7 linked regions of the Oryctolagus cuniculus genome follow. The protein of the gene in region 6 interacts with the protein of the main gene of each other region in a pairwise test. Links are inferred from orthologs where the notes say so. Each region holds a gene or a part of one and is shown on either strand. Other genes may lie near its edges. The genes, in order: ZMAT1, DUSP19, PPL, POLDIP2, retrotransposon Gag-like protein 8B, ALAS1 and LONRF1.

Region 1 (4,567 bases), on a different chromosome or scaffold from region 6:
TAGTGCCAAACTGTGCACTTTGACTTTATCTAAATAAGCAATGAGAGCGCCAGTGATGAATGACAACATTATGGAAATACATTGGAGGAACTGGGACCAGAGGAAAGATGACTTGTGGGATAGAAGCCATAGCTGACAAGACATAACGAGGACTGGAAATACAGCCAGGGAACTGAGAGCAGAAAGGAGGGCACACAGAAAAGAAACTCACACAAATGTTTCCCTTGGGCATCTCATCAGCAAGGAAATGAATGGGATATTGTACAACCCTGACAGCTACAAACAACAACATGGATGAAAATTCGAAACTGAATGTTGAATGAAAGAAACAAGTCTCAGAATGCTACCTAGTAAAAGATACAAATTTTTCATTGTTAAATTTGAAGACAATCAAAACGAAATAAACCTAGTTAGGTATGTATCTATGTCACAAGAAAATACGTTAAAAGAGAAAAGAAGTACTTAATGTGCTGTACATTGTGATTTAATGCTATAACTAGTACTGAAACAGTATTTTTCACTTTGTGTTTCTATGTGGGTGCAAACTGTTGAAATCTTTACTTAATATATGCTAAACTGATCTTCTGTATATAAAGAGAATTGAAAATTAATCTTGATGTGAATGGAAGGGGGGAGGGAGAGGGAAAGGGGAGGGTTGCGTGTGGGAGGGAAGTTGTGGGGGGGAAGCCACTGTAATCCATAAGCTGTACTTTGGAAATTTATATTCATTAAATAAAAGTTAAAAAAAAGATAAAAGAAATAATAAACATAAATCAAAAAGCAAATTGGTTTTTTAGGAAGGGAGGTCAGGGGGAAAATGCTAAGGGGAATTAAATTATTAGTAATATTCTACTTCTGTTGGGTACCAGATTTACGGCAGATTTTCAAAATGTAGATGGGTAGATCAATAGATACAGCCCTTTAAGGGGCCATAAAGACAATGTGTCATAACCAAAGATTCTGTTTATTTCTATTTTCTGTAATAACAGCTCCAAGAAAAGAGATGTACGAATATTTTAGGATCCCTTAGGAGAGGAATCAGTAACTTCCCCCCTTTTTTTTTTTATTGGTTTTAGATTAACTCCTCCAAAGGAAGCGTCTTCATTGTGTGATCCCCACATGCCTTTACATCCCGCGCTTTTTCCCCTTTTCTCTTGGGCATTGCCTCCTGGGCAAAGACAATGCGTCAACGCCAAGCAGTGCGTGGCGGGGTGGGGTGGGGTGGGGTGGGGACTGGGGACGGGGGTAGGGGTGGAGAGCAGCCTGTGGATCTTAACCTTTACGATTGGGCAGAAGAAGCAAGGAGCGAGATCCAAGCTCCAGCCGGGGCGAAGGAAAGAGGGGCGAGGGGGCGGGGCCAAGAGGGGGCGGGGCCAAGAGGGGCGGGGATAAAGGAGCAAAACCAGAGCGAGGCGCAAGTGCGACTGTCCGCGCCTCGCTGCGATGGCCGCGGCGTTGAACACAGTCACGCCGCTGGCCACGGAGTCTTCCCCTCAGGAAGCTACAGTCTCTGATGCCTCCTATACCGCCTTCGCGGCGGCGGCGGCGGCCGCGGCCACAGCCACGGCCACGGCCCCGGCAGTGATTGTGCCTACCTCCTCCGCCACGTCCACCTCTGCCCGCCTGCCTGCCGGTGGCTGTGGCGACGGCGGCAGCGGCTTTGGCGGCTCCACTATGGCGGCGGCGGGGAGGGGGGGCAGTAGTTTTAAAGTAGACACCCGCCCTTGCCTCAGAGAAGGTGAGTTCCCGTCCTGGGGTGCGGGCACGGCCCCATCTCCTTCGCTGCCTATTATCAGCCCGTCGGAAATCTGGCTGGGCGAGATTCGCCCCTTTCCCAACCCCCAACTGCTGTGGCGCAGTAGAGGCCAAGGTGCCTCGTCCCACCCCGTGGTATTAGCCCCCAGTGTGCCAGGTCTCCTTGAAGCAGTGAGGGGTTTCCCTGGCCCCAGAAAAGGATGCAGGCCCCCAGGCAAAGAAACTGAAGGTACTCACCAGGCAGGAGTTTGAAGGGAGAAAAACACACACACACACACACACACACACATCATTTCTCGCTCAGCAAGACGCCTTCGTGTGCACTAGGAGATGTGATTTGGGAAAGAGGCGAGGTTCTGAGTGCTGTGGCCCTAGAGGGGCAAGCAGGAAAAGAGAAGGGCGAGTGATGGAGAGAGGCGACAGAGAAAAAGAAGAAAAGCTAAGGAAATCAGAAATCAGACAGAGAAAAAACCCTCTGGTAAAATCCGAGGTCCTGTGGTGTGGAAACTCGGAGTAGTACATTTATGGAGAGATGGGGTTAGGCATTTGGGAAGGTTAGCGTGTATACTTGAGCTTTAAAGTAGGATCGGTTGGATTTTAGGATTGTAGGGTCTGGTGGAGGGTGCTCTGCTGGGGAAAAAACATTGGAAGAATGTGGCAGAAGCACAAATTTCACGCATCACTTTGGAGAGGTTTCTTTGGCTTTTTAAGGTTATGACCTAGTAAAGCAAAGCTTATGGGCCCATCTTTAAGGTTGTTTCGGCTTTAAGAGGTGCTGTTGTACCTACAAACACATATTACTCCTAACAAAAAGATATTTCTGGACTATCCCAATATAAGTGGTCTTTAGTTCACATAAAGTGCAATATATTTGTAAGCAGCCTACCAATAGCAAACTGTAAAATTTACCATTGAAATGTATTGTAAAGCAGTTTTGGAAATGCTCTTAGGCCGATTCCATGGCAGAAGATCGCAATCGAGCATTTTGTCATCTAAGTTCAATAATGTCCGTCTTTGTATGTTACCTTTTCCTTCTAACTTGCCTACAAAAACGAAACACTGTAGATGCCAACGTACAGCAAAATGATTTAACTTGATTTTTGTAGGAACAGAACATTCCGTTAAAATTATCTCATAAAAATAATTTCTTCTGCCTAATGATATATTCCTCTATGCTATTTCATAACCATTCACACTTTTCACTTTGGAAAAATGGTAAAGCAGTAAAACAAACAAACAAACAAAAAAACCCTTAACATATTTGTAGCAGACACCTTGTACCGTTGCTAGTCACTAAATAAGCAAGTTGGAAATACACTGAAACATAATGGCATTTTATTTATCAGCTATTACCAAAGGCAATCTTCACAAGAAACACTTCATTTAGTGTCTTCAGTCAGCCTGAATTTGTACCATTGTTGTGGAATGAAACATGAAATCTCCTGAGTATAGAAATTTTGTGTCAAACTTTCTGTCCATAACCAGCAAGAAACCTCACCATGGCATGTTCACAATAAAGTTTAGGGTCCAAATCTCGTGTAAAAATGCTATTGTGCCTGCCTCTGTAAACTGAATTGTTTGCAGTATTTTCTAATAATGTACAAGGGTACTTCAAAAAAGTTTGTGGAAAATTGAATTAAAAGATGTTTGTTTCTGTAAAAAAATTGAAATCTGTGCATACAAGAAGTCTTTAAAAAGTTCACAGAGAGATGGGCATTTGGAGTAGTGGTTAAGAACAGGTTTGGATGCTGCATCTGGTGTCGGAAATGCCTGGTTTCTAGTCCTGGCTCTATTCCCAGTCCCAGCTTCCTGCTAATGACACACTAGGAGGCAGCAGGTCTACCCACCTGGGAGACTTGGATTGCGCTCTGGGCTCCCAGCTTCGGCCTGACCCGGTCTCAGCTGTTGCAGGCATTTGCAGAGCAAACCAAGAGATACTGTCTATCTCTGTTTCTCTGTCTACTTCTGTGCCTTTTTGCCTCTAGAATTAAACAAACAAACTTAAATAGTTCATGGGAAATGTGATTCATGATTGCTTTAAAGTACCCTCATATGCGAATATTTAGAACTTTAAGATATATGCTTATAAAGTAGCAGCAATACCTTTTCTATGCTTTTACTAGGTGATAAAATGAGAGCCCTGACATAGGAGTCTGGTTGAATGAACACAGATTCTGTTGACAACTAATTCAATAGACTTGCTGACCCTGAATAGGTCCCAGACTTCTTGGATTTGGGATTTAGGTTTCTCTGAATCTTCCTGGGTTTGATCTCTGAAATAGGGGAATTGAACAAATCGAACTTTGAGGTTGATTTCAGATCTGAAAGTATTAACCAGAATGTTGAAGTTCTGCATTGATATTCTTTTGATGGCATTTCTAGGGCTGTGCATTAGAATAGTAGTTCATAAATCATAATAAATCTTAATAGATAGCCTCTAACATTCAGTGAGTAATGAAATCTGTATTGAGTTGTGTTAAGACTGTTTATTAGGATATGAAAAAACAAATATAATGGTTACTAGTTTTTCATTGTAGTTAATCAGTCTTCCCTCCAATCTAAAACTCTTCTAGCTTTTTACTTAACGAGTGGTAAATATTTGATATATTGCACTGTCTAAAACACTATTGGCCTTAAAATGTTTTTGCTTAGATTTTTATAAAGGCCATAAATGGTTGTCAGATATAATAATGGATAATGCAGAAAAGAGAAAAATGTTGTCTGGTGGTGTGCCAGTGTCTTGCTTATTTTTCTTTTTTTCATTTTGAAGATTTATTTATTTGTTTGAAAGGCAGAGATACAGAGAAAGAAA
Region 2 (4,064 bases), on a different chromosome or scaffold from region 6:
GGTTAAACCTCCACCTATGGCACTGGCATCCCATATGGGTGCCGGTTCCAGTCTCAGCTGCTCCACTTCTGATCCAGCTCCCTTCTGTTGGCCTGGGAAAGCAATGGAAGAAACTCCTGGCTCCTGGCTTTGGATCGGACCAGCTCTGGACATTGTGGCCATTTGGGGAGTGAACCAGTGGACAGAAGATCTCTGGTTCTGTCTCTCCCTCTCTCTGTAGCTCTGCCTCTCAAATAAATAAATAAATCTTTTAAAAAGAGAGAGAGACAGAGAGAGAGACAGAACAAGTGCACTCCCATATACTGGCCTACTCCATAAATGCCTGCAACAGCCCAGATTGGGCCAAGCTGAAGTCAGGAACCTGTAATTCAATTCAGGTTTCTCATGTATGCAGCAAGAACCCAATTACTACAGCTATCCCTGCTGCCTCCAGGTAGGGAATTAGCAGGAAACTGGAATTGGGAGTAGAGCCAGGATGCCTCCAATATGGGATGCAGTCATCCTAAGTACTATCTTTTTTTAAATTTTTTTTAAATTTTTTTTTTTTTTGACAGGCAGAGTGGACAGTGAAAGAGAGAGAGACAGAGAGAAAGGTCTTCCTTTGCCATTGGTTCACCCTCCAATGGCCGGCGCGCTGCAGCCAGCGCACCGCGCTGAGCCGATGGCAGGAGCCAGGTGCTTTTCCTGGTCTCCCATGGGGTGCAGGGCCCAAGCACCTGGGCCATCCTCCACTGCACTCCCTGGCCACAGCAGAGAGCTGGCCTGGAAGAGGGGCAACTGGGACAGAATCCGGCGCCCCGACCGGGACTAGAACCCGGTGTGCCGGCGCCGCTAGGCGGAGGATTAGCCTAGTGAGCCGCAGTGCCGGCCCCTAAGTACTATCTTAACAACTATGTCAATGCCCACCCCTCTCCAATTTTACACACAATGGTACATATCTTGCAATTTTAATGCAGATACAAATGAAATCTATACTCTACCATCTAAGCCATATTCTACACCTCAAAAAAGCAGCTGATCCTAACATATCTATATAGAAAAATATATATATTAAAGATTTATTTGTTTATCTGAAAGGCAGAGTTACAGAGAGGGAGAGGCAAAAGCAGAGAGAGAGAAATCTTTCATCCACTAGTTCACTCCCCAAATGGTCACAAGAACTGGAGCTGGGCTGATCCAAAGCCAGGAGTCAGGAGCTTCTTCTGGGTCTCCCACACAGGTGCAGGGACACAAGTACTTGATTCATCTTCAACTGCTTTCCCAGGAACACTAGCAGAGAGCTGGACCAAAAGTGGACCACCTGGGACTCGAACTATGGCCCATATGGGATGCCTGTGCTGCAGGTGGAGGCCTAGCCAACTACACCACAGTGCCAGCCCCTTACATACATTTTTTAAGAAGTACTTATTGACATAAAATGGTGTCAATTCAAGGTATACTTCCTGATAACATAAGTAATTATTGACATAAAACAGTGTCAATTCAAGATGTACTTCTTGAAGATAACGAGCCTACAAGCCCTGCCTGTCAGCATGTTGGCTCTAATCTAATATTATATTGCCTGTTGGTCTTCTAAACTCAGAAAACCAATGGACAGCTACTGATCAACCTTTTTACAGACTCAGTAAAGCAATACACTTTTATTCCTCAGAGTGCCTTAAAATTCTGTTGTTAAAAATGCATAGACTGAGGCTGGAAATGTGGTGTAGTGAGTAAAGCCATTGCCTGCAATACCGACATCCCACATGGGCGCCGGTTCGAGTTCCAGCTACTCTACGTCCAATCCAGCTCTCTGCTATGGCCCGGGAAAGCAGAGGAAGATGGTACAAGTCCTTGGGCCCCTGTGCCTGTGTGAGAGACTCAGGAGAAGCTCCTGGCTCCTGGCTTCAGATCGGCCCAGCTCTGGCTGTTGTGGCCATCTTAGGAGTGAACCAGTAGATAGAAGACCTCTCTCTCTCTCTCTCTGCCTCTGCCTCTCTGTAATTCTGCCTTTCAAATAAATAAATAAATCTTTTTTTAAAAATGCATAGATTCTGAGGTCTGCACTGTGCCACAGCCATTAAAGCCCCAGCCTGCACCACCAGCATCCCATATGCATGCCTGTTTGAGTACCGATTGCTCCACTTTTGATCCAGCTCTCTCCTAATGCACATGGGAAAGCAGGAGAAGATGGCCCAAATCCTTGGACCCTTGCACCCTCATGAGAGACCTGGAAGAAGCTCCTGGTTCCTGGCTTTAGTTCCAGAGTTGCGGCCATCTGGAGAGTAAGCCAGCAGAGGAAGATCTCTCTGTGTCTCTACCTTTATCTGTAATTCTGTCTTTCAAATAAATAAAATAAATCTTAAAAAATATAAATGCATAGATTCAAAATCCCTACCTCAGTCATTAAAATGAATGTGCACTAACCATCATAACTATACTAACAAGACTAGAACACTCTTTATTCTATAATCTACCTGTAGGTCAGCAAGCAGTGGTCAGAGGGCAAATAGTTATCAATTCCTTAAAGGAAATATAACTACATATTTAAACAGGAAAATTCAGTACATGAAGATTTTATTTCCTAACATTTTTCAGACATAGGAAACAGGAAACTGAATTAATGTTAAAACTAAGTATCTCAGGGCTGGTACTGTGGCATATTGGGTAAAGCCGTCACCTGCAATGTCAGCATCCCATATGGGCACCAGTTCGAGTCCTAACTGCTCCACTTCCAATCCAGCTCTCTGCTATTATCTGGGAAAGCAGTAGAGGATGGACTCCTGGGCCTATGTAGGAGACCTGGAAGAAGCTCCTGGCTCCTGGCTTCGAATCGGCACAGCTCTGACTGTTGCAACCATCTGGGGAGTGAACCAGCGGATGGAAGATCTCTCTCTTTCTCTCTCTCTGCCTCTGTCTCTCTGTAACTCTGGCTTTCAAATAAATAAATACATCTTTTTTTTTTAAAAAAAGCAAGTATCTCAACGAGAAAAGAACAATGAGGGTACTAAATAACTGTAGGAATTGATGAAATATTTTTGGATTAAAAGTTTCATAATAGATCTTTAGAAATTCATTTAAAATAAAAAAATAAAGATGGAGACAGCGCTGTGGTCTGGTGGGCTAAGCCTCCGCCTGTGGCACTGGCATCCCATATGGGTGCCTGTTCAAGTCCTGGCTGCTCCTCTTCCAATCCAGCCCTCTGTTATGGCCTGGGAAAGCAGTAGAAGATGGCCCAAGTCCTTGGGGCCCTGCACCCACCTAGGAGAACATGGAAGAAGTTCCTGGCTCCTAGCTTTGGATGGGCCCAGCTCCGGCCACTGTGGCCATCTGGAGACTGAACCAGCAGATAAAAGAACTTTCTGTCTCTCCCTCTCTCTGTCTATAATTCTACCTCTCATATAAATAAATAAAATCTTTAAAAAAAGAATAGACAAAGGAACCATACTTTCAAATTTCTGTTTTTGAAGGACAGTGGATTAAAATAAAACTTACCTTCATTTTAGCTTCTTCAATAAATTCAAAACATTCTGGAAAATAAGACAGGATATTGGTTTCAGGGAGATCCAATATGGAGATGCTCTTATATGTGAAGTCACCGAGGAAAGCATTTTCAACTCCACAAGCAACATTTAGAATATGAGTCACCTTAAAGGGAGAGAAAAAATGATGATATTTAAACTCTCATGAGTGAGGTAACCTAAAAAGAGACTGAGATGTCAACATCTGTAACAAGAATAGTAAAATAATTATACATGACTCGCTTGAATGATATTTCCTCCAGAATGCCGTCTCTGCCCCATCCCTAACAGAAGTGCCCCTTCTGTGTACATCCTCATGGCCCACCATACATACCCTATTATAGCTCCGACCACCTACAGATTGTTTTCTCCTTCTCTCTACTAGAGACTCCATGAGGGCAGGGACCACATCTAACGACTGTAAATAAGTGCTGTGAGTGATATTCCTTCTTTTTTAAAATTTTTAAAAGATTTATTTATTTATTTGAAAGGCAGAGTTAAAAAGAGAGAGAGAGGGGATGATACTGTGGCACAGCGGGTTAAAGCCCCAGCCTGGAGTACCGG
Region 3 (4,797 bases), on a different chromosome or scaffold from region 6:
CTGTGTGTCCCCAGCCCCACCCATGAGTCTCCAGGGTCAGGGAACCACCAGTGCATGTGAGCTTAACCTTAGCCTTTCGCCCTGATGTGCCCGCCAGCGACTCAGAGGCAGGCAGCGGTCAGTGACTCCTCCACGTTCAGCCTGCCCACCATGCATCCAGCTCAGCCCCATGCACACATCCACACAAGTCCCTAATTACCATCACCCCAGCTGCCTGTTGTCCTCAACCCGTTCCACCCGTTCCTTTAACCCTCAGCCAGCACTCCGGGCAGGCACTAGGCTACAGGTGGGAGAGAACAGTCTCAGAAGGACCAACTCCGTCCCAGGTTACACAGCCGGGAGGGTGGGAGCTGGTTCCCTGCAGGACGCTTCCCTGGGACCTGTCATTATCGCAGGTGTGAACACCTGCTCCCACACCTGTCATTAGGAACCAGGGTGACAGGAGCAACGGGTTCACACCCTGTCCTGGCCCTCCCGGCTGGCAGGGAGGGGCGGCTTCCTTAACGGGGCTTGGGGCTCACGGCGGGAGGTGCCCCGGCTTGGGATGTGATGACAACCCTGACCTGGGCACTTCCTGTGTGCCAGGGCAAGGCTGCTCTCGGAGACTCCAAGCGACAGATTCTTACTGTCCTCTTCGCTGCTTTGCAGAAATGGAAACTGAGGCTCGGGAAGGGTCCGGGGAGGTGGCAAAGCCAGGGTGAGGAGCCGGGAGTCCCGCTTCCTGGGCCCGAGCTCCCACTCGCCCCGCCAAGCCGAATCTCAATGGCAGAGAGCCCCAGAAAACTAAGGGTGAAAGAACACAGCTTAGAGCCACAGGTGCCCCAGGCTGCTTGTTACAGGGCTGGTGAAGCGTGGAGTAGGCTGAAGGGAGGGAGACTGGGGTGCAGGGCTGCCCCCACCTCCTGGCAGAGGGATGCACAGGGCTGGGAGAGGATGTGGCAGACCCGGCCGCACACAGGGCTGCCATCCCACTCAGGGCCAGGTAACACAAGGCCACGGCAGCCCCACCAAGGGTCTTCCACTCCACCCTGGGAGAGAACCAGGAAGGCTTCCTGCACAGACACCCCCAAGCTGAGGTCTGCAAGCCAAGGACAGAGGGCGCTGCCTCTGGCCAGGAGTGCAGGGAGGGAGCGGTCAGTGCTCGCCCCACGCACTCAGCGGGATGGGGTGCCTCCCTCCCAACTTGCCTCAACTCACGCTAACCCGTGTGAGGTCCAGCCCAGGCCTCTGGGGATGCGGGCTGCGGGGGATGAGGGGCAGCCTGGCCCAGCTCCTGGAGTGGGGGTGCCTGCAGGTGTGGAGGTCTTGTGGTGGCGAGGACAGAACAGTTGTGTGGGGCTGGCACAGAGCACAGGATTGTGCAATGCCCGAGAGAACAGCGCATCGACTGGCTGGGCCCCCAGAGAGGTATGAGAGCCAGCTGGACGGCCAGGGAGGAACAGCACGCAGGGCCCTGCCCAGCCTCTGAGGCTGTGACAGACAGGAGGGAACCGGGGGCGGGGGGGGGGGGGATGCCTCTGAGCTTCAAACATCTGGAATGGGAGCTATGGGATGGGTGGGTGGGATCCCGACTCCTGGGGTGTCTGAGGATGCTGGAACGGAAGGAAACTGAGGGCCAGGCTTGCCTGCACCTGCCAAACAGGTCAGCCTAGGCTGATGGCAGGGGCGGCGCGGGGGGGGGGGGGGGGGGGACGCGAGCCCAGAGTTCCCGCCTGCACTGGGCCATCAGAGGCCTGCCGGGAATAAGGAGCCGCCCCCGGCACTGCAGGGACTCCACAGGGCAGCAGGAGGAGTGGGGACCCCAAGCCAGGAGGCTGTGCCGGTCACCTACTCCCCGCCTGCCTCCATCTCTGTACCCAACGCCCCTACCCCGTTTTCCCTCGAGGGGGAGAAGGCAGGGCCAACTCCCTCCCCCTCCCTCATCTCAGAATTGCCCCGACTTCCCCAAACCGGTTATTAAGCGAATGCATTCGGCTTATCAAAACGGACGTGGGCTGCCTGTGCGCACAAACACATCGAGACATGTCATTCCTTTCCCAGGCCTCCCTGGGAACCCGCCGCTCAGAGCCGCCGCCAGTTTCGGGGCTGGGGGAGGGGGCGGGGAAGGAGCCACACCCCTAAGAAGGGCCGCGGCGGCCCGACGCCACCCAGCCACCGCGCAGCGCCCTGCCTGGCGCTCCCCGGGCAAGCAAGAGGGTGCCGGGCCTGTGCCCTCCGCTCCAGGGCCTCGGGGCGGGGCGGGACTCCCGAGCGCAGGTTGGCAGGTGCGGGGAAGTGCCTAGCAGGTGGCCCGCCCCCGCGCCACCCCCACCTGCAGCCTGCCCGACGCCAGGAGCACCTGTGCGAGCTCCGAGACCCGCAGGTGTGCGCCCTCCAAGCCCAGCTCCGCTCTCCGGCCCAGCACACCCCCTCTAGACCCGGCCTTCGGGCCCCCTGCGGCCGCAGTCTCCAGCCCGACTCAAAAGCAGCCCGGGGGGCGCAGGTTTCCGGTACCCCCGTCTCAATTCCCCGCCCCCTAGGCCCTCAAAGCCAGGCCCCCTGCGCTCCGAGGACCCCGGGGGGCCACAAGCGGTGTCCCCTCGGACGCGCTCGCCCATGCCACCCCATCCTCTTCCCAGCCGAGCGACCCCTCGCGTCCCACACTCTTGGCTCGGTTCCCAGACCCGTGAGCCCCGGGACCCCTCGGGGACCCGGCGCTGGCCCCCGCCCCGCGGCGCCTCCTCACCTGCGGGTCTGCACCTTGGGGCTGTATTTGCCTTTGTTTCTCTTCCTGAAGAGTGAGTTCATGGTGGCGCTGGGGAGCGGCGGGGGCCGGGCGGGCCGGCGCGCACCGAGGGCGGGCTGTGGGTGCAGGTGAGCGGCGGCGGCGGCGGCGCGGGCGGGCGGGCGGCCCCGAGTGCTGCGCGCCCTCGGCACCCCAGCACTACTCGCGGGGGCGGGGCGCCCGGCGGCCACTCGCTCCGCGGCCGCTCCCCGGGTAGGTGGCGCTTCACCTTTCCGGGGAGGGGCTCCCGCAGGGCCGGGGGCGGGGACGCCCGGGCCGCCTCCGCACGCGCGGGGCCCCGCCCTCCGCGCGGGGACTTGCGCGCCCCCCGACTGGGGGCCCTGAGTGCTCTGGGCGCGGGCGCTGCTCCGGCTCCGGCCGACCCGCATCTGGAGTCCCCAGTCCCCCGCTCCGCCCCTCACAGGGCCGCTGTCGGTGTCTGTGCGACCCGGATGGCCAGTGGGTCCCAGCAAAGGGGGCACTGGACGCCCCTGCCCACGTGCGGATCTTGCCTCCGCACTGGGTCGGCCGAGACCCCTGGGCGACGTGCGTGTTCCAGCGCCCCTAGCCTCAGTTACCCAAATGGGTGCCGGTTCAAGTCCTGACTGCTCCACTTCCGATCTAGCTCTCTGCTATGGTCTGGGAAAGCAGTGGAATATGGTCCAAGTGCTTGGGCCCCTGCACCCGTGTGGGAGATCGGGAAGAAGCTCCTGGCTCCTGGCTTTGGATTGGCGCAGCTCTGGCTGTTGTGGCCAATTGGGGAGTGAACCAGTGGATGAAGACACCTCTCTCTCTCTCTCTCTCTCTCTCTCTCTCCTTCTCTCTCTATGTAACTCTGACTTTCAAATAAATAAATAAATCTTAAAAAAAAAAAAAGCAAAACAGAACACTCAGACTGGAGACTTTGCTGAGGGGCCTGGTGGCCTCGTTAGGATCAAGGACAATGCGAGACGTCTGGGAACGTCCCTGAGTGCAGCCAGGGGACCTCTCTGAGAACAGTGGCTCTAGTTGCTGTGCGTCGGCGCCTGGGGTGTGTGGGGGTGTGTAAAATGCAGATTTCAGGCCTTCATACCCTGGGAGAAGGGCTCAGGAGTCTGATCACTTGACAAGATCCCCCCACGGTCCTGGACCTCACTGGGAAAAGCCAAGAGGGAGGGACCCTGCCAGCTACTGCCCAGGCACAGACCTCTCGCCAAACCTAACCCCCCACCTCGGCCCTGCCTGGCCTCCCTCTCAGGTGCTGCCCTAGGTGGGGCAGGTAAGGCCTTGAGCAACCCCTCGTTCTGAAGAGACTCCCCTCCCTAGGTCTGAGGGCACCCTGGGGACTCGCCCACCAGCCAGCTGACACTGGGGCAGGTGTCAGAGAAGAGCCAGGGCTGCAGCACACAGGCGGCCTGCAGCTACCAGAACCAAAGCCCAGCTCAGTCTCAGGCCATGGGCCACAGCGGGGGGCTTGTTTCCTGCTCTGCTCCTCCCCTGCCCGTGCCCAGAGACCCTTTCCTTACTCTTCCCCCTCCCACCTTTCTGGGCAGGTGGGCACTGGTGTGGGTGCTAAGTCTGCCTTGACTGTTCACTGCAACCTTGTAGATTTTCTGGAAACCAGCTGCTCACCCCTGGGGTAGGTTAAACAAGCAGCCACAGCTGTGCGGACGGTGTGCCTAGACCCACACGTGGAGTGGATGCCCACAGCAAGGGGCAAAGGAGAGGGTCTACGATGCCCGCTCTGTGTTGGGGGGAGGGAGAGAGAGAAACTAGGCGGGCATGCCACTTGCTTGTAAATGCGCGGCAGACGTGGGCAAGGATTCGTGAGACACGGTCACCTTCGAGTCCCCTCTGGAGAGGCCAGGGAAAGATCAGCATTTTCACAGGGGAAGGAGAGCAGGCAGCGTAGACAGACCTGAGTTTGAATCCCTGTTCAGACCCTCTCAGCTGTGTGAACACAGGTGAGCCACCATGCCTCTCCCGGCCTCCGTTTCCCTCTGTGAAATGGGCACAAACACAGCATCGACGTCCGAGGGTGAGGCGCTGTGTGC
Region 4 (3,718 bases), on a different chromosome or scaffold from region 6:
TTGTATGGCTTTTGTTGATTTGCATAATGTCTTTCAAAAACCTGACATTTGGGAAGGGCACTGGTGCAGTGGTTAAGACACTGCTTGGGAATGCCCACATCCCGTGTTGTAGAGCCTGGGCTTGAGTCCCACCTTCACTTCTGATTCCAGCTTCCTGCTGTCGCACACCGTGGGAGGCAGCAGGCAGTGGTCTCAGTACTTGGGTCCCTGACACCCACGTGGGAGATCTGGATTGGGTTCCAGGCTCCTAGCTTCAGCCTGCCCTAGCAGTTTGGGGAATGAATTAGAGCATCATCTGTCTTTGTCTCTCTGCCTTTCAAATACAATGAACAAGAAGTAAACTTTTTTTTTTTTTTTTCCAAGAAGACCCCAAATTTTGGAGTGGGCATTTGACCTGGCAGTTAGGATCCTAATTGGGGTACTTTTCTGGACTGAGTTTCCAGATTCTAGCTTCAGCTTGGGTCAGCCCCAGCTGCTGCAGGCACTTGGGTAGTAAACCAGCAGGTGGGAGATGTGTCCCTTCTTCTCTCCCTTTTGAATGAATAAAACAAATAAAAACATAACAAAAGATACCTGAAACTGAATTCTCTTAGGTGGAGCAAGCACCTCCCATCACTCTAGGTTGTCTTGTCTCTTGCCTATTTATCCATGTGTATCTCCTAATCCCTGGAGAGATTTGGTTTTGCAAACCCTGCCTACCCTACCTTGTCTCCTGAGAAAGTCAGAAGTGGCATTGGTGCCAGAGGCCACACATGCCGTACTCATTTATTAAGTCAGCAGGCACTTGGGGAAGCAGGGTAGTAAAGTGAATCAGAGCAGGGCTGTGGAATTAGTCTAGCCTGAAATTTCAGCTGTGTTACTTACTGCGTAATTTTGGGCATGTTGTTTTACCAAAGTCTCAGCTTCTTACTGCTGAAGTGGGGACCACGCCTATTAGCCTATGATCTCTGGAAGAACTAAATCCGTAAAGGTTTGCAGACTACCTGCCAGAGTGCTTAGCGCTTAGCACTCAAAAGTGGACACTGGAAGGGGTAGTTCCAGAGTAGGTCCTTGGTCCAGTGTCCTCAGACATTCAGCCTGAGATTCTCTTCCAAAGAATCAGAATAAAAGGCCCAGGTCGGTGGCTGTGCTGTGGGAGGGGGTCCTGGCAGGTTATCAGTGTGGGGGGAGCATGCAATCCTGATGAACTGGCAGTCAGGAGCATGTCCCTGGGTGTGGCCTAACCCATTTGCCTGCACCCTCACAGGAACCAGTGTTATCCAAGGAGCAGCCCGCATTCCAGTACAGCAGCCACGTCTCCCTGCAAGCTTCTAGTGGGCACATGTGGTGAGTGAGCCTGTGCTGGGGCAGGGGCTCTTGCAGTCCAGTCACAGCTTCAGGTCTGAGGAGCGACCTCAGTTTGCAGTTAATGCTGGCCAGGTTCAGTCCCGAGATGGAGCCCTGTCTGCCGTTCACTATTGTGTGGACTGCCTATGTGCCAGTTTTTTAAGATGTGTGGGCTGAAGTCCAGTGGTTTGATGCTACACTAAGTTGCTGAAGCCCGGTGTTTCACTACTGAACCTGAAGATGCAGTTGGGTGGCTTTGAGCAGTGTGCCTGGAAGGGCCAGAATCTGGACAGCTGTGCTTTTTGTGTGGGGCCAAGGAAGGCTCCTGGATCTCTGGATCAGCCAGCCTCCCGTGAGTTAGACAGGAGAGCACAGCCCACCTCATGCTGTGGCTGTGGAGCTCAGTGTGTGGGGCTCAGGAGGGCCTCAACTCTGATTCCCCTCAACCTGCTTCTCTGACCACAGGGGCACGTTCCGCTTTGAGAGACCTGATGGCTCCCACTTTGATGTCCGGATCCCACCCTTCTCCCTGGAAAGCAATAAAGACGAGAAGACACCACCCTCAGGCCTTCACTGGTAGGCCAGCTGAGGCCCTGAGAGCCCAGCTCGGCCCCAAAGAGGAACAGCCCTCATCCCACAGTTGCTGCAGAACTCTCTCCCTGTTGTAGGCCACACTGAGTCTCTTCATCTTTTGCACCATTTGATCGTGAGGTTCTTTTGGGGGATGCAATCGTTTTCTTCGGAAGACCCGTGTAGGACCCCTCCAAGGCTGGCCTTCTATTTATAAACCCTGCCTACACTGTGTTCCAGTAAACTTGTCCACCAAGGAACTGTGTTCAGCTGCCAGAGGCCTGGAGGAGTCTCCTGGCCGGTCAACAAGTTGTCTGGAACGTGAGGTTTGGTCAATAAACCAGTGCACGCTTGGCCACCCTCGCCGTTTCTGTCCCCAGGGGCCTCAGGCTCCCTCTCGCAGTGGGGGCCCTTGAGTACTTTCCATGCTGCCCTTCCAGGGAGCTGTGCCCTCTGCTAGGTTATGTCTCCTTCAGAGGCTGGCTGGTCATCTCCAGGGGCACTGTACCCCTCAGCTGGTGCGAGGGCGCTGAGCACGGACCTGGACTCTGTTCTTCACCTTCTGGCAAGTACAGAGAGGCTGGCCAGCATCAGGGCTGGAATGGTCGGCTCTTAACACTGACTACCCGCTGGCATCTCAGCCTCGCTGGGCCTGAGATAGTGAGGAAAGCCAGCAGTGTCTGTCCAGCCTCCAGGCCATAAATGTGGGGATTCAGCCAAGGAGCAGCTGTAGGCATGGACGGTAACTAAGCCAAGCTACTTCCCAAGCTTCCCCAGGGAGTTGTGCTGCATTTTGCCCTGATTCTTAGAAGTCCTCTGCAATGATTGTTAAAGATACTTTTAATCTTGAATTATATTAAATCGGTTCTAGCCCTTGCTAGTGTTGTCCTCAATCCTCCACCAGGGGGAGCCTGGGTTGCAGGGCAAGAGTAAGGGGGGGCGCTCTGGACCAGCTGGAATAACACTTGGTCCCATCCTGAGCAGACATACAAGCACTAAGCCCACAGCAAGCTGGTCAGACTCTCCGCACTGTAAAAACAACACTCAGTACCACTCCAGTGCAACAGTTTTATTAGAAATTAGTGTTTGCTTCCATCACTTTACGCTGAGCAAGAAGGTATCACAGCTATGTGGCAAAGAGGAAATTCTCTCCTGCCGGCACTGCACCATCCTTCAGGCAGACCTGGGTCACACGGCACATGCAGTAAAACCTGGTACTGTCTGTGTTCATAGCAGACTTCCAGTTTCTCAGAAACTGACAGGGTTAGACCTACATCCATGCTGTTGTCAGCTTCCCCCTGGGCTGCTTGCGGTTGGAAATGCACACAACCAAGGGCTGCTTCCTGAACGGGGTTGGGAAACTTGAAGAAAATTCCCCAAGATCCTCAAACCGTAAATCCTGATTAAAGAAGCTAAGCTCACTCCACTGAGCCCAGTGCTAGCTGTTTTCCTTAAGACCAAACGTTTCCAGAGGGAGAAGACAAGTGCCCTTCCCGACTAGTGTTTTCCTGGTCACCAGCGAGAGGGCTGAGGATGAGCGGCAGCGGAAGTAGAGGCTGTGGGGGTTGGGGAGGTCACAGGATAAGCATGAGAACACCTCTGTGGGGAGCTGGGAACTTCAGTATTAAAGGGCAGCTGAGAAAACAGGCCAGAGGCCTCCTGCAGCAGCATTCCTGTGCCTGTGGGAAAGCCACAGAGCCAGAGCCTGAATTGGGACAAAGAAATGGATGTGTCTTACTACTCCAGTGAGGGCTAGAAGCACTAGTCACTGATCCTCACGGTGCATGACCTGAGGACTCTTAGAGCTATTTTACATTCAAGA
Region 5 (3,526 bases), on a different chromosome or scaffold from region 6:
GTAACTGAGAATGTCTAAATGTAATTATTTTGCTCAAGATGCTAAAATATAAAGCATTTTTTTAAAAAGAATTTTACCTCTTTTAGGAAAAATCCTACTTTGTTTCCATTGATTATTGAATTTGATTATTCTGTGATTCAGTTAAACATAGCTATGGCGAGAAAGAGTCAATTAGGAGATTTTTGATTGCTTTACTTTTAATAGTTTGGGGGAGAATAACACAGGGCTAAAACATCCTCTGGCTCCCCCTTTTAACTGGCCAGTCACTCAGACTGCCTTTTCACATTAGTTAGCTCACCTCACTGGTGATCCCTTGGGAATTTGCAGAAGTGCACAGCATCACTGGAAACTAAGAAAATGTTCAAAATGTTTCTTGGGATTTGAAAATGAAAATAAAAAAAATCAGAGTAAATAAAACTTTCACAGCTGCTTAGAAACAATGAGTGTATAAATTTTATATTTTATAACAATTTGAGACTTGGGCTTTCAAATAACTTTTGAGAAATAAGGAAATCATTTCAATGAACCCTTATGGATGAATTCTCAAATCACCTAGGGGAAAAAAAGAGAAGTAAAGATTCATTTCCAAAGAGCTATGAAACATTTCTAATAGCATTATAGGATTCAGCACCAGCGACAGAATGCTCAGTGGTAGGTTCTCCATCCCCAGGACCACGGCAGGAGTGGAATCTTGATTTAGGATGGTCCAAAGAAACACTGAAACAGGTCATGCGGTTTCTGAACAAGATACAGACCCGCTTTGTAGGAGCACGGAGGGAAAGGTGGCACACTCAGTGAACGCAGTTTCTTATTGGACAGGGTCTGACATTTATTGAAAGAATGGAAAGACTTCTGTACAGGTAGTGTAAAAGAGCCGCGAAGACCACAGGGTCATAGTGTGGGACACAAGGCACACATCAGAGAGACAGCTGCACGTTCGGAAGAACCGGGACTCGGGGGGGCGGGGAGAACTACTGTCATGTCCACGGGAGGACGTGACAGGCGCGATTCAGCGCCCAGACCCTCAAGGTGTCTCTGGGAGGAGGGGGCGCGGCCTCACTCATGGTGGGAGGCCGGCTGGCCCCGCCGGGCAGCCGGCTGTCGGAGTCGGGGTCCGAGGGCCGCGGCCAGCCCAGACCCCTCGGAGGGGAGTCCAGGTGGCTCAGAAGAGCAGTCTGTCGGCGGGAGGCCGGGGGCGGCGGCGGCGGCGGCGGCGGCGGCGCAGGTGCGTGGGCAGAGCGATGCGGGCTGGCGGGGGGCGGCCGGCGGTGCGTGGTTGGTCGTCGGCCGCGCGGCGGGGGCCCAGCCTGCAGCCCGAGGGCCGGACGGCGGCCCCCGGTGCAGGGCACAGGCCGGGCCGGCGGCAGCGGGCAGGGCGGCGGCGCTGTCCAGAGCCAGGCCCAGAGGCAGCAGCGCCAGCCTGGAGCGCTATTCCTGGAACAAAGGCAAGCACGACGCGGGCGGGCGGGCGGGGGCGAGGGGACGCCGCGGCGACTCGGGGAGCAGGGGGGCGGCGGGACTCGACTCGGGCGCGAGCGCGGCGGGGGCCGCCCGCGGCGACCCTGGCGGCGGCCGGCGGGCAGCCCACCCTCCCCAGGGCAGCCGGCCCCGGGCCCGAGGCTCCGGCGGCCTAGAAGTCCTCGTCCTCCTCCCAGCCAAAGACGCGCTTCATCTCGGCCAGAAAGCCCCGGTAATCACTGAGGAGGGGACTGTCCTTCTTGATGTAGGGGATCACCCACTGCAGGGCGGGCCCCGTGAGGCGGGTGATGAGGAACGTCACCTTGAGCGCGTCGCTGGAGAACGTCTTCTCGTCCACGAACATGTAGGAGCCCGTCTGCACGATGAACTCCGGCAGCCGGTCGGTGTCGCCGTCAAACGTCTCGGGAAAGGGGATCGGGTTCCTCCAGCGACGCGCCGCGGGCCGCAGCGGCCGGGCCAGCAGGGCCTTCACGAGCCGCATGCGATTGTCCATCGCGCCGAGCTGGCTGGCGGGGCTGCGCGGAAGGCTGCGCTCGGGCGTCGCGGCGAGGACTCGTCGCGGAGGCGGGCCCGGGGAGGGGCGGGTGTGGGCGGAGTCACGCGCCGGGCTGCGGGCGGCGCGCGGGCCCGCCCACCAGGCCGAGCGGTCGGCACGGCGCAGGCGCGTGTCGGGAGCCAGCAGCGGCGGGGGGAGAGGGAGGCGCGGCAGGGGGCGGGATAGGGGCGGCCGGGGGCGTGGCCAGCCCTGGAGGAGGCGGAGTTGGAGGCGGGAGGGGGCGGTCCCAGGCGGGCGGCGGGCGGCGGGCGAAAGGCGGGGAGCCGCGGAGGAACGCGACACCCCAGATGCGTGTGGCGAGGCTGGGGTCTGCTGCTCTTGGACAGCTTCTGGTTCCACTTGGGGAAGTTAGCGAGTCCGGGGGCGTCGCCCTTCGTCCTCCCTCACTCCGCGCCCTTGCGCATCCCTTTGCGGATCTGGGCTCTGGCTGCCTTTTGAGGGAGGGTCTCTGAACACATGGTGCAACTCGGTCGTGTGTCTCAGCCAGAGAGGTGTTGACTCTGCAACATTACAGGCCAACCCCAAGTACTAGCGCAAAGTAATTACACCCTGAGCAGCTACTGTACGGAGGGTTGAATGCAAATAAATACCTTAATTTCCTGCAGTAAAATTCGGTGTGTGATTTACCTAGTTCAATCACTTGTCTATGGCACAATCCTGCCACGAATTATGAAACACGAGACACCTATTATCCCTTCAACACCTGTTTTTCCCCTAAATTTCATACTGTGCTCCTTGCACAGCACGTCAGCAGTTCTGGACTATTTCAAGGACGTGGAAAATGCATGTGTGTGTAACGACAGTGGCAATGCTGTAGAAGGGAGAGGGAGCATGAGGGAAGGGACAGGAGCACAGATGTTCCTGTGCAGGCATGTGGAGCCGGTCCTGATTTAAAAACAGCTTTGCTGGAGAAGGTGACTAGGATGGAGTTTCCAGAAAACTTCCTTTGCCCTAAACGGGGCCTGTCGACCAGACCAGACGTTTGAACGTTAGAGTTAGGAGATACATAAATGACTATAAAAGCAGTAGAAGGGAGAATAATGCTTCCATTTAGCTTCAGTTTGCAGCATAGTCTCTTTAACTGTTGGTAGATCTATATAGACCACTGAAGTACCAGAAGTGCCTTGAAGGATAGTCAGAAAAACACTAAACATTCAACCTATCTATTTTTCTTTTTTTATTTAGTAAATATAAATTTCCAAAGTACAGTTTATGGATTACAATGGCTTCCCTCCCCCATAATTTCCCTCCCACTCGCACCCCTCCCATCTCCCGCTCCCTCTCCCAGTCCATTCACATCAAGATTCATTTTCAATTATCTTTATATACAGAAGATCGATTTAGTATATATTAAGTAAAGATTTCATCAGTTTGCACCCACACAGAAACACAAAGTGTAAAATACTGTTTCAGTACTAGTTATAGCATTACTTCACATTGGACAACACATTAAGGACAGAGATCCTACATGAGGAGTAAGTGCACAGTGAC
Region 6 (4,543 bases):
GCTGGCTGGAGCCTGCTGGACCTCGGCTTGGGCAGTTTTGTCTTCTGACAGAGGAAATGGAAAAAATGAACCATCAGATCTGGTTGCACAATATACAAGAAGGCCCACTAATGTTTTTCCTCTTATTGCCCCAAAGATAAACTTTATGCTTATTCCACCCCACAATCCAAACATAAACTTGTTTTATTAGGTTTTGTTAATCTCACTATTTTTTTTATTTGTCTCACTGGAAATAATGCCCCTATAAAGACTTACTTGGCAATTCCAATTACCTCACAGCACATAATAATAATAAATAATAAAGATACTATTTTCTATTTTTAGACAACTCTGAGTCCTCAAGTTGGATCATTTCCAGTAAATTCTACCCCAAGCACATTCAGCCTGTGTCAGGAGAGGACAGTCTCTCTCAGGGTGTTCGAAGTATCCACACAATTCTCTACTCACATCTTCTAAGCAGATTCTTGACCAAGAAGCATGCTGTTGCTTAACATGAAAACTACTAATTTTTTTCTGAATAAAAGAAATTAGACTAAAATGCAGGTCTCCAGGTTGCTGTCTGATGGAGTTCAAACTACCAGTATGCTAAGAAAAAAACCACAGGTATATCACCATTATCTACCTTACCTACGTTCTCATCTAAGACTTCCCTCTCCCCTTAAGAAAATTTGTTCCCCTTCCTTCTAGAAAAGCCTTCACATTCTGGAATACTGTTACTCAGTGGCTAGTCTTTCCTACATTGGACAAGGTGTTGCAATGGTTTCCATTAAAATCTTCTCTAAATGAAAGCCAAAAAAACTACTTTGAAGTTAATTTCATCAATTGCAAGTATAGCACATATTCGTTAGAGAAAGTCTGGGAAAAGAAAAAGAGACAAGCCTTACAATTTACAAACATTTTGGCAAAAAAGACAAAGCTAATTCCTGAAACTAATCCTCCAAAGGATTAAATCCTTTCTACTTACAGAAAAAAAACATTCCTTTCTTCCAAGTTCACACCCAGACAACACACCTAACAGAAGGTAAAATATTCCCTAGGATTAAGTGAAATTGGAAAAGCTTTATCCTTTCCTGGCAGCACCAAACAGAAACTAAAGTCATCTACGCTCTCTTTATTACAAATAAAACAAAGGATTTATAAACAAAATAAGGATATCTGTTTTAAAAAATTAACAAATACTATATGATTCCACCTGTATAAGGCACCTAGAGTAGCCCAATTCATATAGACAGAAAGTAAAACAGTGGTTGCCAAAGTTTCACTCTGGGAAGGCAAAGTTCTGTAAAGGGTTGGTGGGCACGGTGCAACGTGAATGTACCTGCCACCATGCAACCATGCTCAAAAATACTTAAGGTGATCAATTTTATGTTGCGCGCATTTTACAACACAATTTTTTTAAAGAAAAAAATCACAACTTTAAAAGCCAAAGGTCAAAGATTTAATGAAGGAGAGGCTGGAACGCAGCATGTTAATTTAATGTTTATGCAAATAAGGCACAGAGGAAACACTGAAACGCTAAAACCAAGCCAGAAGAGACCTGTAATATGGAGCGCTGGCCGGTCTCATCTTTAAAGATGGGAAAACTGGAAGCGCCTACTTGGTGGGGTTAGGGCAACATTACCTGAGCTACCCAATGCCCACAGCCCAGCCCTTAAACGCCCTTACCACTGTGCGCACTGGCCTGCCTCTGGCCAGTGCTGAGCCCACGCATCCCCACCGCCCCTTCGCCGCCAGACACTTACTCTCACTGGCCGGAGGGGTTTCTTTGATCTGCTGGCAGTGCCCCGCAGAAGTGGACAGGGCCCGAGGGGCTGGCTTGGCCCCAGCCTCCATCATCTTGGGGCAGTTTTGCGCATAGAACAACAGGGATTTGCCTGCCTTCTGCAGAAAGGCCTGGGGCACTCGAGATAAGAACGGGCAGCGGCGCACAACAGTCTCCATGTCCAGGGAGTGTGCTAGCTCCTGTAGAAAGAGGGCCGTCAACACTTGCTCATCAGGCAAACAGCACCGCAGGCTCACTGCGTTCAGGCATCCCCTGCGGTCCACACCAAGGGTACCCAGGGATACACACCTCACTCGAAAAATGTCTAAGGACAGCGCTGATGTGGACTGGGGACCACACTCTACCCAGGCCTTCAGGCCTCCTACACTCCCCGGCTGTACACTAAAGCACCCCCAAAGCAACTCCACCCAATGAACACTGACAGTTAACAACTAAGGGGAGGGAAGGATGAGGGACAAGTCAGGAACAGGTTCGGGAGGCCGATTCGCAGCACACACTCAGGTGCAGACGTGAGCACGGGGAAGAGGCCACGGTCATTCATTCAGGCGGGGAGGACTCCGAAAGATCTGGACTTTCTCCGGGTCCCCAGGCCCCCAAACCCAAGGACGGCGGCCAGCGGAGCCCTGGGTCGCTGAGGCATGGACTGCCCCGGGATCAGGCCCCACAGCCAGCACCGGACAGAACCGAGAGGAAGGGCATAAAGAGGGCGGGGGCGAGAGGGAAGCGTCAAGGGGCTGGGCAGGGGGGCATTAGGGGCTCTGAGATCGAGAGGCGGGTCCGGCGGAAGCAGGTGGTCCCCGGGGAGCTGGGGACCCGGGGTCAGGCGAGGTCGAGAGCCCGCAAGCAAACGGAGGGGTGCGTGAAGCGAAAAGCAGCCGGCAGGAGGGGGCCGAATGTGGGGGACCCGAGGTCGCCGAACTGGCTAAAGATCTGGACGGTGAGCGCCGAACCCACAGCAGCTATGACTGGGGCGGTGGGGGATGGGGTCCCAGCCGCCGGGGGAGAGGGGCCCGGGCTGGCAGGACGCGCGGGGACGCTCAGGGCCGGCGCCGCCCCCAGAACGCGGGCCCTCACCTGCGCGGGGCACTCTGCGAGGCGGCGGCCGCGGCGGCGGGCACTCAGGCCGAGGTGTCCACACGAACGCTTGCCCTTGTCGGCGAGCAGTCTCAGGCCGCGGATACTGCCGCCTAATATACAGCGGCGGGGAGCAGTGCGCATGCGCCCTGGGCCCGGCCTCCCTCGCGCAGGCGCGCCCCCTCAGGAGGCTGGGCGCGGCGGGCCCGCCTCCGTGAGGAGCGCTGAGCGGGCGGAGGCTGAGGGGGTCGGCCTTGGCTGGCAAATCCCGCGCTGGAGGGCCGCCGAGCGGCGAAGTCTTTTGTCCCGGCCTCGTCCCACACCCCCGCGGCCGCCTCCCCACTGACCATTGCGTCAGAACCCGGCGTTCGGCGCCGTGCGGCACACGGGGGCAAGGTCCTAGACCAAGTGCGGCCGGGGCCAACTGGAGACCCTATTTTTTGCCAAGTAGAAGTTTGGACATGTGGAGGGGGTTCCGGGCCGGGTCTCAAGCAGGAGCTGCCCCGCCAGGGACTTGCTGTCGCATCTGTCACCGAATCACCCAAAGACGGAGCGGTGCCGGCAGGGAGAGGCTGGAGAGTGGGGACCCAGCTGTGCAGACAAGGATGCAACCCATGTGCCCTGAGCTCTAGGGAAAGGGGAGGCCCAGGGCCTGCCACACAGTTAGTGTCCGACACGCATTCGCCCTGTTTTTGTTTTCCAGAGAGCTTGTCTAAAGTCCCTTCCTGGGCACCCAGGTGGGTGTCTGGGACTCCGTCCCAGAGTTCACAGCTGGGCCATGTCTCCTTTGAGTCTGTCTGAGACCACACCTGGGGGCAGGGCTTGGCAAACCCCTGACAGCTCCACACCCTCCCCAGCCTGGCTGGCTCTGGGCTGGGCTGAGCCTGTGCCAGGCTGGGAGCTGCCCTTTTCCACTCTGGGGAAAGGGTCATTCAGGTTGTTCCCTCCCCAGCGGCGGATTAATTAGAAGAGCAAAGTCCAGAGTGATGGTGACCAAGGTATGTTCAAGCACTGCCTGATCCCGTCTCTGAGCATCCAGCCCCTTGCAGGGCAGGCAGAGGAGGCATCTGGGTCTGGAGTGACCCTGGGAGTAGTCCAGTCAGGGATGAGGGCTCTGGCCCAGGAGTCCGCGACTGTGCTCTCCCCATGCTGGTGAGCCAGGGTGAGGAGGAAAGGGTCAGCCCTTGCACTCAGACCAAGGTGCAGGTAGAAGTAGGAGCAGGCTAAGGATGGTGTTGAGCGCTTTGCTTGTCTCTGGGCCTTGTTTTCTTTATCTGGGCAATGGGGTCATAGTCCCAATTCTCCCTGCCACCCAGGGCCGTTGGGGCGATCGAGACTAAGCAGAGGCAGGAAGAATGGGACACTGGCGCTGGACGTGGTTTCCACGCGGCTCTGAATCTTATTTGGTCACGGCCTTTGGCAGCCACAACCTCTTGGAGACTCAGTTTCCTCACTGGTAGAGCTCTCCCGGCCCTGCCACTGGTAGTTGGCAGGAAGGTCAGACGCAGTCATGGATTTCAGAGGCGTATTGTTTAAACTGACAAGCCTCCAGCCCTCCGGGAGTTTCCTGCTTAATAGAAACAAGGGTTGGGAAACAAGGCCGACTCACATGGAAAGTGAAATAGAATGTTACAAGCACTTCAGGTGGAGGAGAAGGCAGGCGCTAGAGGAGGGAGTCCTAGTCCC
Region 7 (4,832 bases), on a different chromosome or scaffold from region 6:
AGCCAGATAGAGTTCTTGGCTCCTGACTTCAGCCCCCAGCTGCTGAGGGCATTTAGGGAGTGAACCAGAGGATGGAAGGGCTCACTCTGTCTCTATCACTCTGCATTTCAAATAAACAAAATAAACTTTCAAAAAAATATTAGTCACAGAACATGAAGCTAGACTTAAATCTGTAATGTGTTCACTATTCTTCCAAGGAATAGGACCTCAAAGCTTATAAAGAACCTAATTTAAAAGAATGTCATATCACCATGTCAGGCGTAGATACTGAATAGTGCTGTTGGTGAGTTTTATCCTCTATTTTATACTAGTGATAGAAAACCCTCCTGGGAAATGTGCATGAGCACTTGAGTGGATGACCTATAAAGACCAGATGAACACAAGGCCCACTTTAGAAAGGGACACACAGCTGCCTCTCCAAGCAGCCAGCTGTGTGACTGGGGCAAGTCACTGCACTGCTCCAGCCCTTGCTTTCTCACATGGTCTGTGATAGGTGTTCTATCCAGCCAATTCTGGCTTATTTGCCCACAAGAGGCAGTCAGGTGTATCAGAATTTAATACCCAATTATTTTCCTTTTGTTCTGAGACTATTACCATATTTTACAACTGCCTCCTCCACAGACACACTAAAAGGCCTCAAAAACATGGCAAGTTTGTGCTGTGAACTCTGAAGGTTCTAAATAACTCAAGACACTGTCACTGGTTCAATATGACTAAGCACCCACAGGAGGGTATTTTCAGTTCCACAGTGTCTAAACTTACCTAACACCCAAAGTCAGTTTAATATTTCATGTCTATTTCCTTGGGGATTATTTCCCCCAAGCATTATTTCCTGCCAACACAGCGACATGAAAATCTTGCAATCCACTTCATACAAGTGTCGCCCACAGTGCCACTGATGGTCGTCTGGGGCCTGCATTCTTGGCGGTGGCAGGTCAGCCGCACAGTGCCCACAGTGCCGGGACCAGCATCACGCCTACAAGAGGTGGGGACCAAAAATGTCCCTAGACACTGCCAGATATGTTGCCCTGGATAATGTCCTTGGGGAGGGGGTAGTGAAACCCCCCCCCTAGTAAAAGAACTGATCCAAGAACTTCATTTTTTCTAACGGAAGTTTTACAGGCGCGTCTGGCACAATGTAAAACCGCCTTGGGAAAAGTGCTAACTGAAGTTGGGAAGCCGAGGGTGCGTCCTGGAGACAAAGGAAGAGACAAAAGCCCTACACGGCCTTTCCCCCTGGGCTCGATCTTAAGTGGAAAGGCGAACGGAAGCGAGGCGGTAACTCTGGGTTAGAGACTACCTCTGCATCCCTGCCCTGGGCTGGGCGTATTCCGGAGTCAGCACAATGAAACCGGCGTGACCTGAGAAGAGCAGGTGGACGCCTCAAGATGCACCCACTCCGCGGGCACTTCCAGGTAGGAGCTGACCACCGCGGCCGGAGGGGCCTCGCGGCACTGGGTGCGGGCGCCGAGCTCCCGCCACGCCCACCGGACGTCACCCGTTACACAACGCCCCTCCACCCCAGCTTATGCAATTCTGCCCTCCCGCGGCTTCCAATTGCCCCGGTGACTTTTGCGGGTCGGGAAGGTAGACCTAGCCCGCCCAACCTCGGCTGGGGATCCCCGCCCCGCCGCGATGTCGTCTCCCACCCCCGGGGTGGCCCGGCCCTGCCGGGCCCGAGCCGCCAATTCCCGGAAAGAGCGCGGCAGGAAGCGGGCGGCCGCTCGGGCTCCCCCAGCTCCCACCCATCCCGCGCCAGGGCGGCCTCCGGCCCGGGGGCCCGCAGCTCCGCGCCGCACGCGCGCGCGCCCGAGCGCCAGGCCGCGGCCGAGGGAACCCCGCGCCCGCGCGCCCCTCCCCGCGCCGCGTCACAGTGGGCTCCCAGGGCGATCCCCATTGTGACCGAAGCACCCCGGGCGCCGCCCCCTCCCACACCCTCGAGCACCCCGAGATCCCGCACGCCGAGTGCCCAGCGGCCCCCGGGGAAGCAGGGCGAGCCTGCCCCAGGGCGCAGACCCGCTCTGGGTACCCGGCCCGCCCGGGAAAGGAGGGTGGGGTCGGTCGGGCCCGCGCCGCATCCCCGCGCCGTCACCTGCTCGCAGCGCCTCGCAGGCGGCGGCCAGGGCCTCCCGGTAGCGCCCCTGAAGCAGCAGCTCCCCGAGCCGGCCGGCCGCCCGGGCTCGCTCGCGCTGACCCGGGAACCACTTCTCGGCCAGGTGGTTGAGGACGACGCTGGTTCTGAAGTCCGAGGCCGCGATGGCGGCGGCCAGAGGCGGCGGCCGCGGGCCGGTCCCCTCAGCACCCGCGGCACTGGCGACGGCGGCGGGCGGCAGCCGGTCCCGGCAGAGGCGGCAGCGGACGCGGAGCTCTCTCCGCAGGCAGCGGCGGCAGTAGCTATGGCCACAGGGCACCGTCACCGGCTCGCTGAGGAAGCCGCGGCAGCCCAGGCAGCTGAGCAGCCCGCCCGCACCCGCGCCGGCAGCCGGGGCCGCGCTCCAGCCCAGCCCGTGGCGGAGCCGGTAGTTGAACACCAGGCAGTCCACCAGGGTGCCGAGGCACTCGGGCCTGACCGGGGCCCCCCGGCGCAGCGCCGCCGCGTACGCCTCCAGCGCTCCCTTCAGGTGGCCGCCAAGCGCCAGCAGCTCGCCGCGGCGGAGCAGCAGCTCCCAGCGCTCCGACTCCGCGGCCGCGCGCTCCAGCTGGTCGCCGCCGCCGCCGCCGCCGCCGCCGCCGCCCACTTCCCAAAACCGGCCTCGGCTCCGGGGCCTGAGGGCCGTCTCCCGACTCCCTCCCGGAGAGCCCCTCGCCACGGCCGGAGAAGACATGGCCCGCGGACGGCTGCTCCGCCGCCGCCGCCGCCGCCGCCGCCGCCCGCCGCCACGGTCCCAGAGCCTACGGGGCGCGCGGCTCCGCACGCGGCCCGCGAGCAGGGGGGCGTGGCGCGCGGACACGGCGGGGCGGCGCGCGCCCGGGAAGCCCCGGGGGCGGGGCCTGCGTGGGGCGGGGCCTCTGCCGAGGGGCGGGCCCAGGTCCGGGTCCAGCGCTCGGGACTCCCCCGCACCACCCGCGGCCGCGTTCCCGAGGAGTCGCCGGCCCGGCCCCGCCTAGCCCCGCCCCTTCCGAGCCCCCTGCGGGTGGGGGACGCAGGTCAGATGATCCCGCAGCGGGGATCTAATTGGTTTCTCGGGAGAGCAGGGCCTGGCGTGTTACTAAACAAAGCCCGAAGGATCCTTTATCACCCACCCGGGGCTGGCCTCCCCGCCGACGACCCCGCCTGCAGCGGCCCCCTCCCTCGCCTCTGCTCGGTGGGCGCTGCTGTGCTGAGTGGACCCCCTCCTCGCGGGACGGAGGCCCACGCCGCCCGCGCTCCCCCGACGCACTGCCCCATCGGGCTGGGGACCTGCGCCCTCGCCCTGCGCGGAGTCCGGGTCGTCAGGTGCAGGGTGGCGTCTTAGGTGTATGCCTCAGGTTACAGAGGTGGCGGGCCCGCGACAAGTGCCGTCTGACGACTTCGTGACTCGACTACCGTCGGTCTACATTAGACACAAACGCAAAAGTCCGCAGCTCCCTCCAGTTTTTTCTGGTGCCAAGTGGCCGCGGCCTTTCCAGTTCAAAACTCATTTCCTAGCTCGCGGGTTCTTGGGGTGCCGGCTGTATCCCCCTTCCAGCTGGGGGAAGTCTGTATTCCCCAAGGAAAGATGCCTTGCCCACGGCAGGTACTCTCTCCCTACATCCCGAGTTGGGTCTGCAGCTTTACAGACAGAACAAAAAGAAATGATCCCACTTGTAGGTAATGGGTTATACTTCCTGGAAGTTGACAGCAGCGAGTGTAAAACTCTCAATTGAAAATATTTATAGTTTTGAATATAGGGTTCTGGGTTGTTAATGTTGGAAGAGACTTAAAACTTTTTAGTTACTTTGCAGACGGTTGGAAAAGAAAAGTTTACTTGTCCGAATTCACACAAGTAATGAAGAGAGAGGATTTAACTGCTATGTTATGGTATTGATAATAGTTATAGATTCATTCCCCAAAAGGGAATGAACAAAAAGCTGACCGAGAAAATACTGAGACACACAAGGTGCAGAGACACACAAGGTCACTTTTCATTTACATTGCGCCTACAGCAAGTTGTAGTGGGATCCAAGCCCCGTGGCCTAATTGTTCGGTGTGTATTCACAGGCATGAACTTAAATCCAATCCTAATCCCCCTGAATTGCGACCTCTCAGCCAGCAGAACGATGACTTGAGTCACATGCCCACAGACCAGCTTGAAGCTACAAATCCCAAAGACTGAGTATCCCTATGCACGTGCCCTTTGACTTACGGGATGCATTCTTGTCCGTAACAGCAGCTTGCCAAACGTGCAGTGGTAAACAGCTAATAAATGTGATCGTGATCATACAGTGAGTTGAGCGAATTGATAAACACTCAGATGTCTTTTCAACACTAGTTTAAATCCATTCTGGGATTTCCCCTCAAAGTAAAATGTGTGGTTCAGAAAATCATGAAAAATATCATTTGTCCTTTGGAGTTTCATTCCCTAATAGACAGATAGGACAAATAACCACATCTGATTCGGATGTGAAATAAAATGGCACAATTAGTATGGTACTGGGACTGTGGCAGGGCAGGGAGGGGAGGTTGGGACTGTGGGAGGAATCTTGCTGAGCTCTCCTTGGCATTTGTGAATGGCTATGATTCGTGTTTGCTGGTTTATACATTTACATAACTTGTTCTCATTTATGTAACTTATTTATGTAAGAGGCTGTGCAGCCGCTGTGGCCTTTGGATGCTGCACAACCTCTTCTGAATCAGGAAGTGTAGCAAAGCA

What was found.
Region 1: the proteins of ALAS1 (region 6) and ZMAT1 interact in a two-hybrid assay, tested with the Homo sapiens proteins (2 studies listed by BioGRID). The two-hybrid records come from large-scale screens. The link is inferred for Oryctolagus cuniculus from reciprocal best matches to the Homo sapiens genes ALAS1 and ZMAT1.
Region 2: the proteins of ALAS1 (region 6) and DUSP19 interact in a two-hybrid assay, tested with the Homo sapiens proteins (3 studies listed by BioGRID and IntAct). The two-hybrid records come from large-scale screens. The link is inferred for Oryctolagus cuniculus from reciprocal best matches to the Homo sapiens genes ALAS1 and DUSP19.
Region 3: the proteins of ALAS1 (region 6) and PPL interact in binary tests that used the Homo sapiens proteins (3 or more experiments, as listed by UniProt). The two-hybrid records come from large-scale screens. The link is inferred for Oryctolagus cuniculus from reciprocal best matches to the Homo sapiens genes ALAS1 and PPL.
Region 4: the proteins of ALAS1 (region 6) and POLDIP2 interact in binary tests that used the Homo sapiens proteins (3 or more experiments, as listed by UniProt). The two-hybrid records come from large-scale screens. The link is inferred for Oryctolagus cuniculus from reciprocal best matches to the Homo sapiens genes ALAS1 and POLDIP2.
Region 5: the proteins of ALAS1 (region 6) and retrotransposon Gag-like protein 8B interact in binary tests that used the Homo sapiens proteins (3 or more experiments, as listed by UniProt). The two-hybrid records come from large-scale screens. The link is inferred for Oryctolagus cuniculus from reciprocal best matches to the Homo sapiens genes ALAS1 and RTL8B.
Region 7: the proteins of ALAS1 (region 6) and LONRF1 interact in binary tests that used the Homo sapiens proteins (3 or more experiments, as listed by UniProt). The two-hybrid records come from large-scale screens. The link is inferred for Oryctolagus cuniculus from reciprocal best matches to the Homo sapiens genes ALAS1 and LONRF1.

The regions. Positions count from the first base shown.
Region 1 is NC_091453.1:90,872,143-90,876,709, forward strand, and holds the start of ZMAT1 (zinc finger matrin-type protein 1), read left to right. Parts: upstream 1-1,424; 5' UTR 1,425-1,443; coding exon 1,444-1,738; intron 1,739-4,567.
Region 2 is NC_091434.1:57,556,141-57,560,204, forward strand, and holds part of DUSP19 (dual specificity protein phosphatase 19), read right to left. Parts: intron 3,628-4,064; coding exon 3,475-3,627; intron 1-3,474.
Region 3 is NC_091450.1:30,734,987-30,739,783, reverse strand, and holds the start of PPL (periplakin), read right to left. Parts: upstream 3,169-4,797; 5' UTR 3,154-3,168; coding exon 2,726-3,153; intron 1-2,725. UniProt on the Homo sapiens protein: Component of the cornified envelope of keratinocytes. May link the cornified envelope to desmosomes and intermediate filaments. May act as a localization signal in PKB/AKT-mediated signaling.
Region 4 is NC_091448.1:43,895,485-43,899,202, reverse strand, and holds the end of POLDIP2 (polymerase delta-interacting protein 2), read left to right. Parts: intron 1-1,246; coding exon 1,247-1,326; intron 1,327-1,791; coding exon 1,792-1,906; 3' UTR 1,907-2,772; downstream 2,773-3,718. UniProt on the Homo sapiens protein: Involved in DNA damage tolerance by regulating translesion synthesis (TLS) of templates carrying DNA damage lesions such as 8oxoG and abasic sites.
Region 5 is NC_091453.1:112,833,422-112,836,947, reverse strand, and holds retrotransposon Gag-like protein 8B, read right to left. Parts: upstream 2,065-3,526; 5' UTR 1,973-2,064; coding exon 1,631-1,972; 3' UTR 805-1,630; downstream 1-804.
Region 6 is NC_091441.1:97,513,779-97,518,321, forward strand, and holds the start of ALAS1 (5-aminolevulinate synthase, non-specific, mitochondrial), read right to left. Parts: upstream 3,131-4,543; 5' UTR 3,002-3,130; coding exon 2,858-3,001; intron 1,963-2,857; coding exon 1,743-1,962; intron 45-1,742; coding exon 1-44.
Region 7 is NC_091433.1:77,988,742-77,993,573, reverse strand, and holds the start of LONRF1 (LON peptidase N-terminal domain and RING finger protein 1), read right to left. Parts: upstream 2,933-4,832; 5' UTR 2,826-2,932; coding exon 2,093-2,825; intron 1-2,092.